3 separate regions of the Mus musculus genome follow, and all the other regions are reported to be linked to region 1. Evidence: microRNA targets listed by miRTarBase, many of them from high-throughput screens and not tested one by one. Region 1 holds a microRNA gene; each other region holds the end of a gene's coding sequence.
What was found. The annotated mature microRNA mmu-miR-34b-5p reads AGGCAGUGUAAUUAGCUGAUUGU and lies in region 1 at 1,576-1,598, opposite strand. An mRNA with a match to its seed (bases 2 to 7 or 8) in the 3' UTR can be bound and repressed. Matches are read on the target gene's strand: a 7mer-m8 pairs with bases 2 to 8, a 7mer-A1 pairs with bases 2 to 7 and ends in A, and an 8mer does both.

Region 2: miRTarBase lists Foxp1 as a target of mmu-miR-34b-5p. Seed matches in the 3' UTR shown: 7mer-m8 at 2,385-2,391 and 7mer-A1 at 1,712-1,718.
Region 3: the mRNA of Atxn1l is a reported target of mmu-miR-34b-5p. Seed matches in the 3' UTR shown: 7mer-m8 at 1,540-1,546 and 7mer-m8 at 1,607-1,613.

Annotation. Positions count from the first base shown.
Region 1 is chr9:51,102,035-51,105,122 of GRCm38, forward strand. Mir34b (microRNA 34b) reads right to left here and starts at 1,611; the gene lies at 1,528-1,611. Mir34c (microRNA 34c) reads right to left here and starts at 1,076; the gene lies at 1,000-1,076. Hoatz (HOATZ cilia and flagella associated protein) reads right to left here and starts at 44. Exons shown (of 6, transcript NM_177702.4): 1 at 1-44. It also overlaps a transcript of Btg4 not described here.
Region 2 is chr6:98,927,185-98,930,272 of GRCm38, forward strand. Foxp1 (forkhead box P1) reads right to left here. Exons shown (of 19, transcript NM_053202.2): 19 at 1-3,050. The coding sequence ends at 2,906. Among named protein-coding and RNA genes, the nearest start is that of Gm38865, 200 kb to the right of the region's middle.
Region 3 is chr8:109,729,068-109,732,155 of GRCm38, reverse strand. Atxn1l (ataxin 1-like) reads left to right here. Exons shown (of 4, transcript NM_001080930.2): 4 at 1-3,088. The coding sequence ends at 591. Among named protein-coding and RNA genes, the nearest start is that of Atxn1l, 7.2 kb to the left of the region's middle.

The sequences.
Region 1 (3,088 bases):
AACTGCCACCACCGGAATGCCTGTGTTTCTTCTTCCGTAGATCTGGGGTTCCTCGAGGGCTTGTGGCCCATCAGCAGCTGGCTTCTGTCGAGGTCACAATTTTCGGGGCCAGTCAAGCCTTAAGAGTAAAAGCCTCAACTTTGTGATGTGTACAGTCCTGGACTGTCTCTTAGATCCTCAGCCAGCGTCTCCTCCTCCCCCAGATAGCCCAATAATGTGAGCTTTAAAGAGCGCCTTCCTCTTTTGGACAAGATTGCCAAGGCTTCGCACTCTTACCTCTGGGGAAATTCTCAGGTTTGCATTGATACATCTGCATAAAGCGCTAATCTAGAACTGGGCCGAGAAGTACCGGTGGATACAGCTTGTGTGATTTAAAACCTCTCAAATCTTTTATTACAGATATTAGGAAACCAGCTGGTTTTAAATCGTGTTCACTAATTATTCCCACGAAAAGTTGCCTAGAACGCAACTGTTAATACCTTAAAAAATATACCTGGTTAAGTGGGCTGAGTTCCCTTGCCCCATGGAAAATTATGAAAACATTTAACGTTCCCTTCCAGGTCACAATCATGTGTGAGACGTTTCCCTGGAGATTTTGTCTGTATAGCAACTAACCATTTAATGACTTTACGGGGTTGACAGGAGCTGAAATGGAGATCCTAAAGCCAGTTTTTGGAAAGGAAATGAACACGATTGCTGAGATTTTCGTGGCGCTTTATTTTTTAGAGTGTTATTAATATGTCAGGCAAAGTCCAAAGATTTATAATCACAAGTCAATATAATGACCAAATCAGCTAAGGGATAATTTCTATTTTTCCAATATATCTAAAAATCACAAAAAATGTACCCCACACAAATTGATACATTGTATACTTAGCAGCTAAGGGCTAGCGGTTCCCCCCCCCCCCCCAAACCACTAATAGTATGGTAAGAATATTTCCCTATGGCTCTGTCCTCACCAAAATGACGATTCACAGGAGGCTCAGTCGGAGGAATTTCAGTCTTTTTACCTGGCTGTGTGGTTAGTGATTGGTACTATTAGCAATCAGCTAACTACACTGCCTAGTAACTAGACTCAGAAAAAAGCATGCAGTCTTTAGCTGGTGCTCTCAGACTTTGGTGTGACCAGAGCAAATCGTCAGCCAAGCTGTGGTTGACTCTAGTCGCTGCCTTGGTGATAGCTTTCTCAGAAGTGGAAATCAGGCAGTGAATCACAGCAGCAGCAGGAACTGTTCTGGGGGGGGGGGGGGGGGGGCTCTTCCTGGCCTTTTTTTTTTTTTTTTTTTTTATGTTAAGGCCGGTGTATACCGATTCTCTTTACACATCACTGAACCGTTTTTGCTCTGGCTCTTACACACAGGTAGCCGAACGGTCCCTAAAGGAGGCCGCCGGTCTCCGAGGGTTACTTGCACTTAGACCTCGTGCTCCCGGCCCTTTGCTGACGCATCCTGGCTCCGGCCTCGGCTTTCTGCGGAGTCAGTGGGGCTGCAGCGCTGGCTTCTCCTCCCGCGGGCGGCGGGTGATGCTGTGCCTTGTTTTGATGGCAGTGGAGTTAGTGATTGTCAGCACCGCACTACAATCAGCTAATTACACTGCCTACAAACCGAGCACCGGGCGCCCGCCACTGCAGCTCCCGAGGGTCGGGCCCCTCGCCCCCTTTCGCCACGGTCGACAGGCGAGGGCGGCGGAGCGAGAGGTGCCTCAGGCTCCCGAGGCCCCTCCACACCCAGCAGGGCCGCGCGCGACCCCAGGTGAACCCCCAGGCGCTGAGGCCCCCTGTCCCCGCCGTCCCCCCCGAGACCCCCGACTCAGCCCGGACCCCAGGGCATCCGGCCCGAGTCCTTCTTCCCGCAAGCCGGGTCTGACCCGCCTCCAACAACTTCTTCACGGCTTCCAGACCCAAGTCTAGAGCCGGTTCTGTCCAGCCCGCGCGCCCCGCAGCTCCTACTGGCCGAGTGACCGTGGCTCAGCGACCAACCGCCCTTGGAACCCCGAGGCCGAGGGGGCGGGGCGAGTGGGGGAGGGGTGGCAGAAGCTACCAGAAGGGGCAATGGGAGGGCTCCTGCAGAGCCTCCTGGGAAGGGGCCGGGGAGATGGAGAGACAGATTCTTGAGAAGTTTATCTTCACAGTGTAGTTACTGCTACATCGAAGAAAGAAGCGCAGAGACCTACATCCATCTCTCCTTCCCAATATATTGCCCAAGAAGCCCCAGGCCTCCTCACTGTTCATATGCCCATTCTCAGAAACCGCTTCCCAGGCGTCTCATCTGGAGCCTTCCTGCCTGAGCAGGCCTGGGCACTCATACCTGCAGGATTGCCCTTGCCTGTACCCAAGTTCTTTCTTAGGACTACCTCTTACAGGGCCATACAGTGAAGTGTGGGCCACTCTTCTGGTCAAACATTGAACCAACACCCTTGTTGGTAGGTCAAAGTTGTGGCCCTTATAAGATCAAAGACACAGTTTTGATGATCTCCCCGTGAGCCTTGAGGATATCTAGTCTCACTTTGGGCTCCTGTTTTATTTAAATGTTACAAATCCAGCACCTAACAGGCGTTTGTCTTACTACCCATCAGACAGTCTAGGTGGTAACAAAATGTGAACACATTATTTATTACTCCAGACAGTATAAAGTTGCTAAACTGATAGATTTTCCTAATAGAAAAAAACAGGTATGGGTGGGGGTGGGAGGTGTGCCAACAAGAGCTGACAGACACCATCATGGAGGAGGTGAGAGTTCAGGTAGATCCTTGAAGCAAGGGTAGATTTGGACATTAAGGATGAGGTCTGTAGAAGCCCGAGAAGCCATATCTTCTGTCAGTTACATTCCCCTTGTTTTTGCTATTTTATATCTGATAACGGGGTGCGTGTTTGTGTATATTGGGAATAGGAGGCGCTGAGGGGACAGCATTTCTGCGCCATCTTCACTAATATTTCTTTCCTTTAGTCTTTCCTCTCCTTTCCTTTAATTAATTGAGCCCAGAGAGGATATACAGTATTCTCTGATTGCAAACTTTGTGGAATTCAGTAGGAAGTAGCCGTCCCAGACTGTGGTCTTCCTGTATGCTGTATGACACCCATTTGTATTGA
Region 2 (3,088 bases), not on the chromosome of region 1:
TTAGACTAAGCATGCAAGACATACGACTAAGTACGACTGAGTGAAAGGTATATTTTTAATTTTTTTTTTAAACTCATTCCCTAAAGGTTTGAACTGAGGTGTGCGTACTAACAGTCCCCATGCTGTTATCTTTACTCTTGTCTAGCTACACATGCTGAGAATGAACTAACCTACCAGAGTTTTATCCTCTTTTGTATATCTAACCAGCAACCACTCAGTTTAGAAGCACAGGGCCCCCTTCCCATGACCCGGCCTGGCTACTGCCTGCACACTGTGAAGCTGCCTGGAAAAGATGGGTGGGGTGGTGGTGGAGGGGGCATGAATAACCACAGACCGCCCCTCTATAGAAAGCAGAGCAAACCTTCAGAAGTCATTGCCAAAGGTGTTCTACTCTAAGCTTATGAGTGGGTGGGAATGTTAGCTTTTTTTGTGTGTAAATGAAAAACACTGACCAAATCATAATCTGAAATAGGAAAAAAATAAAACAAAACATCAACAAAAAGCAGAAGGAAACCAGAGGATAAATGCCAGGATAAACCAAGATTAACGCAGTGATCAGAGCACAGCCCTTAAACAAAAGTGGCGTACGAATGTTCTAAAAATCTCTTTATTCTAGAAGTGGCCTCGAGCGGCCAGACACTTCTCCGTTCTCTCTGAATTCATCCTAAGTGTCTCCTCGATTATATACTAATTTTCAGCATCATACATTCATTTCTTTTTCTTTGAGATGCTAGCCCATTCTTTCCACAGGAGCTATAATACTGTTGTCTTGATTTCTTTTCTCTGCAGTAGCCCCGGATTTTCTCCTTATAGGAGTTAGTTTTGGTCTCTCTACAGGTAGAGAAAAGAAGGAAAGAGAAAAAAAAAAAAAACAGGAAAAAAAAAGTAAAAAACTTTGGTTCCATTGCCTACATAGTCTGCTAAATGAACTCTGCTGACGGGCAGTAATTTCCCTCAGGTTGGCAAATAGCCTGGACCTCATCATTTGCCTCTGAATCCTTTCGCCTCCTTTGATCAACAATAAGAGGATATTTGGCTTCATCAGATAAAGTATAAAAGAAAATAATTTACCTTTGCGTAATATCTTTGGTAATTTTAGAAATAAAAAAAGGTACAAAGTATATAAATTAAGCTCCGAAAGGCTCTCAAACTAAACCCAAACAAAAGCTACAGCCCCAGATAAATACATGCCAGGGAAGCGGGTGCAGACGGAAATGTGGAGGGGTTTGAAGGGCCGAGGGCATATTGACCTAGAGCCATCTCATTCTGTGGGCCCTGGTCTGTCTACCTGGTGTCCTCTTCCGTGAAGTCTGTGCTACTGGGGTGGTGGGTGTGGTGCTCACATTGCAGACCAAGCTGCAGTACCGACTTAGCACACTGGAACCTGACACATTAGCGTCTGCTGAGCTCAGTCCTCATTAACTCCCATAACAAGTTCAATGTGAAGTCTCATTTGCATTAAAACAGATGAATGCCACCGAGCAGGTCTGAACTACTGTACAAACTTAGCCCTGTCACCATGCTGGCTTTTTGGTCATTTTGCAAACAGAGCAACCTGTGCGGGTGAGGATGGCACAGGGCCTGTGGTCCTGGTCACCTGATTATAGGAGGGAAGATCTTCCATGGCCACTGTGACAGTCTAACTATTGAGGATTGTTTATTCTCTTCTGTTTCTTTCGTGGCTGTGTTTCCTGATGCTGAGAGAATGTGGTGGCAGTTACTCACAATGGTGGGTGCTATGAAAAAGAAAAAAAAGAAAAACCTCCAACAGTCCCCCATCCCACCCCCAATACTGTTTTTGTGAAATGAATCTGCCATGTCCCTAGAGTGTGCGCGCGTGCGTTTCTCTCTTTCCTTTTCTGTCATTCATTCTCTTACTGGCAGGATGTCATGTCCCCGTGTGGGGACCTTCAGGTGTAAGGTGCAGCCTTTGGGATCTTTTTTTTTCTTTTCTTTTCTCTTTTTTTTTTTTTGGAAAAAGACCAAAACGGAATGTTTTGTTTTGTTTTGTTTTAAACTTGAGAGAAACATGGTGATGTCTATAGGAAAATGGAATGAGTGCCAGAAAACTACAGACGAGAAATGACATTCAGCTCTGTATAATAAAAACGCCTATTAACATTCATCACAAGGTACAGAAAACGCGAAGCCTCCAAGAGGCCCTGGGCCCAAATGGAGGCCTGAGGTCAGAACTTAAAATGGTAAAGAAGCCAAAAAAAAAAAGAAAGAAAGAAAAAAAAACAGTAAAAGAAAAAAAAAAAAGCAATACATTAAAAAATTTGGGATAATTATTTTTAACCCCTCCCCCCAATACACACACAAAGGCCTTCCCCCATCCCAACTGGAAGCGAAAAACAAAAACAAAACAAACCAAAGTGAGTAAAGGCAGTGGTATCAACATGCAGCGCTGTGCAAAAAGGTCGTCCACTGGAGTCTTGAACTCGGGCGAAGGCTTGGTCTGCAGCGCAGGTACGTGAGCTCAGTCGGGTGTCCTCGGCGCCCGCCCAGCATCAGCCGGGCGAAGCTGCAGTTCAAAGTCTGCTGCTAAAAGTGAATCCGTTTATCGAATTTACAACACTGATGTTGACTCAAAGAGGAAAATCCCAAGTACCAAACAGGTCCATCCAATGCACAGAGTACAAATCCCTTTTGTCAACAAAAAGTAGAAAAATCAAAAATACTCCCAAATGGGATTCTTGATGGCACTAAGAGTTAACACGTTTCAGAGTTGTCAAAATGTAGCGAAAATCCTCCAGACTGTACAAGAAACGGAGGGCGGGTTTCACTGCTAACTTTTGACGTGGTTTCTTTTCTTTTCCTTTCTTTCTTTTTTTATTTTTTTTTTAAATTTGTTTTGCTTTTTTTTCCCCAATCTTCGGTCTCGGGGGTCGGCCCGCCCAGAGGTTCACTCCATGTCCTCATTTACTGGTTCGTCTTCGTAATCTCTGTCATGGTCAAAATCTGGACTGTGGTTGGCTGTTGTCACTAAGGACAGAGGGCCTTCAGCTTCCTCGGGGTCGAGGGGTTCTTCTTTGACGTGTATGGGGTGCCTACAGAGAAAGAGAGAGAAACAGGCTTAGGGGAACAC
Region 3 (3,088 bases), not on the chromosome of region 1:
GTGCGAAGTGCGGAAGTGAGTGGGGGGCTGAAAATTGACTCTAGCACAGTCGTGGACATTCAGGAGAGCCAGTGGCCTGGATTTGTTATGCTGCATTTCGTGGTTGGTGAACAGCAGAGCAAAGTGAGCATTGAGGTGCCCCCTGAGCACCCTTTTTTTGTATATGGCCAGGGTTGGTCCTCCTGCAGCCCTGGGCGGACTGCACAACTCTTCTCTCTGCCCTGCCATCGGCTACAGGTGGGAGATGTCTGCATCTCTATCAGTTTACAGAGCTTGAACAGTAACTCAGTATCTCAGGCCAGCTGTGCTCCCCCAGGGCAGCTGGGTACACCCCGAGAAAGGCCTGAGAGGACAGTCTTGGGGCCCAGAGACCTATGTGACAGCGAGGGGAAGAACCAGCCTTCAGGAGAGGGTTCCCGGGTGGGAGAACCCTCCCAGCCTGAGCCTGGTGCTCAGGCCTGCTGGCCAGCCCCAAGCTTCCAAAGATTCAGCATGCAAGGGGAGGAGGCACGGGCTGCGATGCTCCGTCCCTCTTTCATTCCACAGGAGGTAAAGCTGTCCATCGAAGGGCGTTCCAATGCAGGAAAATGAACCTCTTTCCCAACCCAGGACTGGGGCTTTCTCCCCAGAGGTGAGCCTCTGTGAGCATCGAGAGGATTTGCACATGCCAAGCAGAGGGTGGCTCTCTTGGCAGTGAGATTTGGGGGAAACAGACATTAAGACAGCCTCCCAAAGCAGGGTGTGTTGCTCGTGACCCCATGGCACCCTCTCAGGACACCTTTAGAGGGTGCTGAGATGGGGACTTGCAGGCTTGGAGCAAGAAAGGGTAGGAGTGCACATAGGATAAGACACATTCCAAAATCAGGGCCTCCCTGTTTTTTCCTACTCATCCCTGGCTCCTACAAGGGAAAGTGCAGGCTTTGGGAGCAGGTGGCAGAGGGAGGAAGCAAAGAAAGAGCCAAATATGATGATCACAGCTTATAGTAGCAGTAAAACTGTTTTCTTTCTTTTTTCCTGTCTCCCTCCCGTCCTTTGTGGTGGGAGGGCAGGAGGCCCAATGGTTGAAAATAAGAGGGTTCCCGCCCAGAACTCTTCTTGTGAGAGATGTGCACTTTAAAGGGTGATTTTGTTACAGATGTTTATGGTGGGGTTGGGGGTTGGGGAGCACCATGATCTACGGGACTGTGCTTGGTCCTTTGCTTCTGCCCGTTCCCATCTCACCTCACCATTCCGCTATAAGGCTTTTTAGCATTTTAGGGCCAGGAGAGAGAGAGAGAGAGAGAAGCCCCTTCGGGTTTGAAAATGAAGGACTGCCTTGCCAGGAACCCAGTCGGGACTGTGGAGAAAAGATTTGACTGATAGATGTTGGGACTTAGGCAAAGCTTTTGAAAGGCCTCTAACCTAAACTCCCACCCAGCCTGTCAGGCCCGCTTTGATATTCATTCAGTCTGTAGTAGTAACTTCAGAAAGACCTGGAGGACCTTTCCCCTAGGCACCTACACTCCTCCATTGTCTGTCTATGTTGTGCCTTAGTGCCTGCACTGCCCCTACCCTTCTGCTGCCTGACCTCTGCATGGTGTCTTGACCTGGGCCTCATGTGTAGCTGCACTGCCTTTGTCCACTAAGACCTCTAGTTTTTGGTGTAAAAGGGTCCCTGGTTTCCCTATCAGCTATAATTTTTATATTTAGAAACTCAAAATCATGTCCTCTTCCACCGGCAGCAATATAGTGGAGAAACCAGAAAGAAACTGAGCCCTAGGCTGGGCATTCCCACTGCAGTGGACCTACTCGGCTTCCTCCCACTGCAATCCATTGCCTCTCAGCATTCCGGCCTAAGTTGCGCCCTCCCAGTATCAGCTCTGAAAGTCTAGGAATAGTCTTTGTAACATCTTAGCAGATGTGTCCTTGTATGCTGGTGGATTCTTCTAGAAAGTATTTTCTATCTTGGTTGTATTTGCTGCCATCTGTCTTATTCCCACATTTCCCTACAGCCCATAGTAGTGTCAGCGTGGACTGTAGGGCCCCATTGGGTATTAGGATTTAGGCTCCCCCACCCCCACCAACTTTAAAGTGGTTGAGTAATTTTTTTGTGAAGGTTTTTTGGGATGGGGTGGGGAGGGGTTCTTTAGACTCTTGAAGGCAACTCAGGGTATTGTCCACCCAGCTATGTAGTTAGACTTCTCCCAGGGAATGAGTGTGGCATTTCCTTCATAGATAGACCTGGCCTGTCACCAGGAGTCCTACACTTCTGAAGTATGAGCAAAGCTTAAGGTGAGTCTTGTGATATCTCTTTCACTTCCTCCCCAGCTGCCAAATGGGGATAAATAATCTTACCTACCTCCTGGGGGGGGGGGAGTTCTGAGAACGAAGTCATTCTTAGTGTTCAGGTGCTAAAGGTTGTTCTCTTTGGGAACAGAGTGACAAGAAACTGGCTAGTTTGCTATAAATCCTACATTCTGTTTGATACCTTGAGAGCAGATACCTGGTCAGCGAGCTTTTAGGGGGGGGCGTTCAAAGGAAGCTGTTTAGCCTGACCGCAAGTACTGAAGTCTCTGCTTTCTGTCAGAATCAACCACCGACCTTGTGCTGCATTGGAGATCACATCCTTTCCCTGTGTTGCCCCCATTTCTCTGCTGCTTCTCTGGCTTGTTTCCTACAGCGGGGGCCTGTGGGATTGAGTCTTGAGGAATTCTCTCAGATGAGAGCCATAGGAGATGGCCTCATCTCCTGACTGTTTCATGAACAACTCATTCCTAGGTGTTATTTGCATGTGTGGGTTTCTCACAAGGCTCCCTCCCTTCCTCAGAAGGTTCATCACGGAATTTCCTGACATGCACTGTAGATGCTACAAACATGTCTACCCAGGGTACCACTGAGCTACGTCTTCCTCATGGGGCAGACGTGATTGGCTCACAGTTGAAGTCAAATCACTGCTTGGGCTGCTTGTAGCGGAATCCTTGGAAAACAGTTGTTGAGGGCCTTGACAGATCGGGCCAGCGCTGACCTCTGTGCTCTGCTTCCTTTCTTTATCCCTGTTTGTAAACACGGCGCCTCCCTTAATGTGGCACCATGCAGATGTGACTTGATT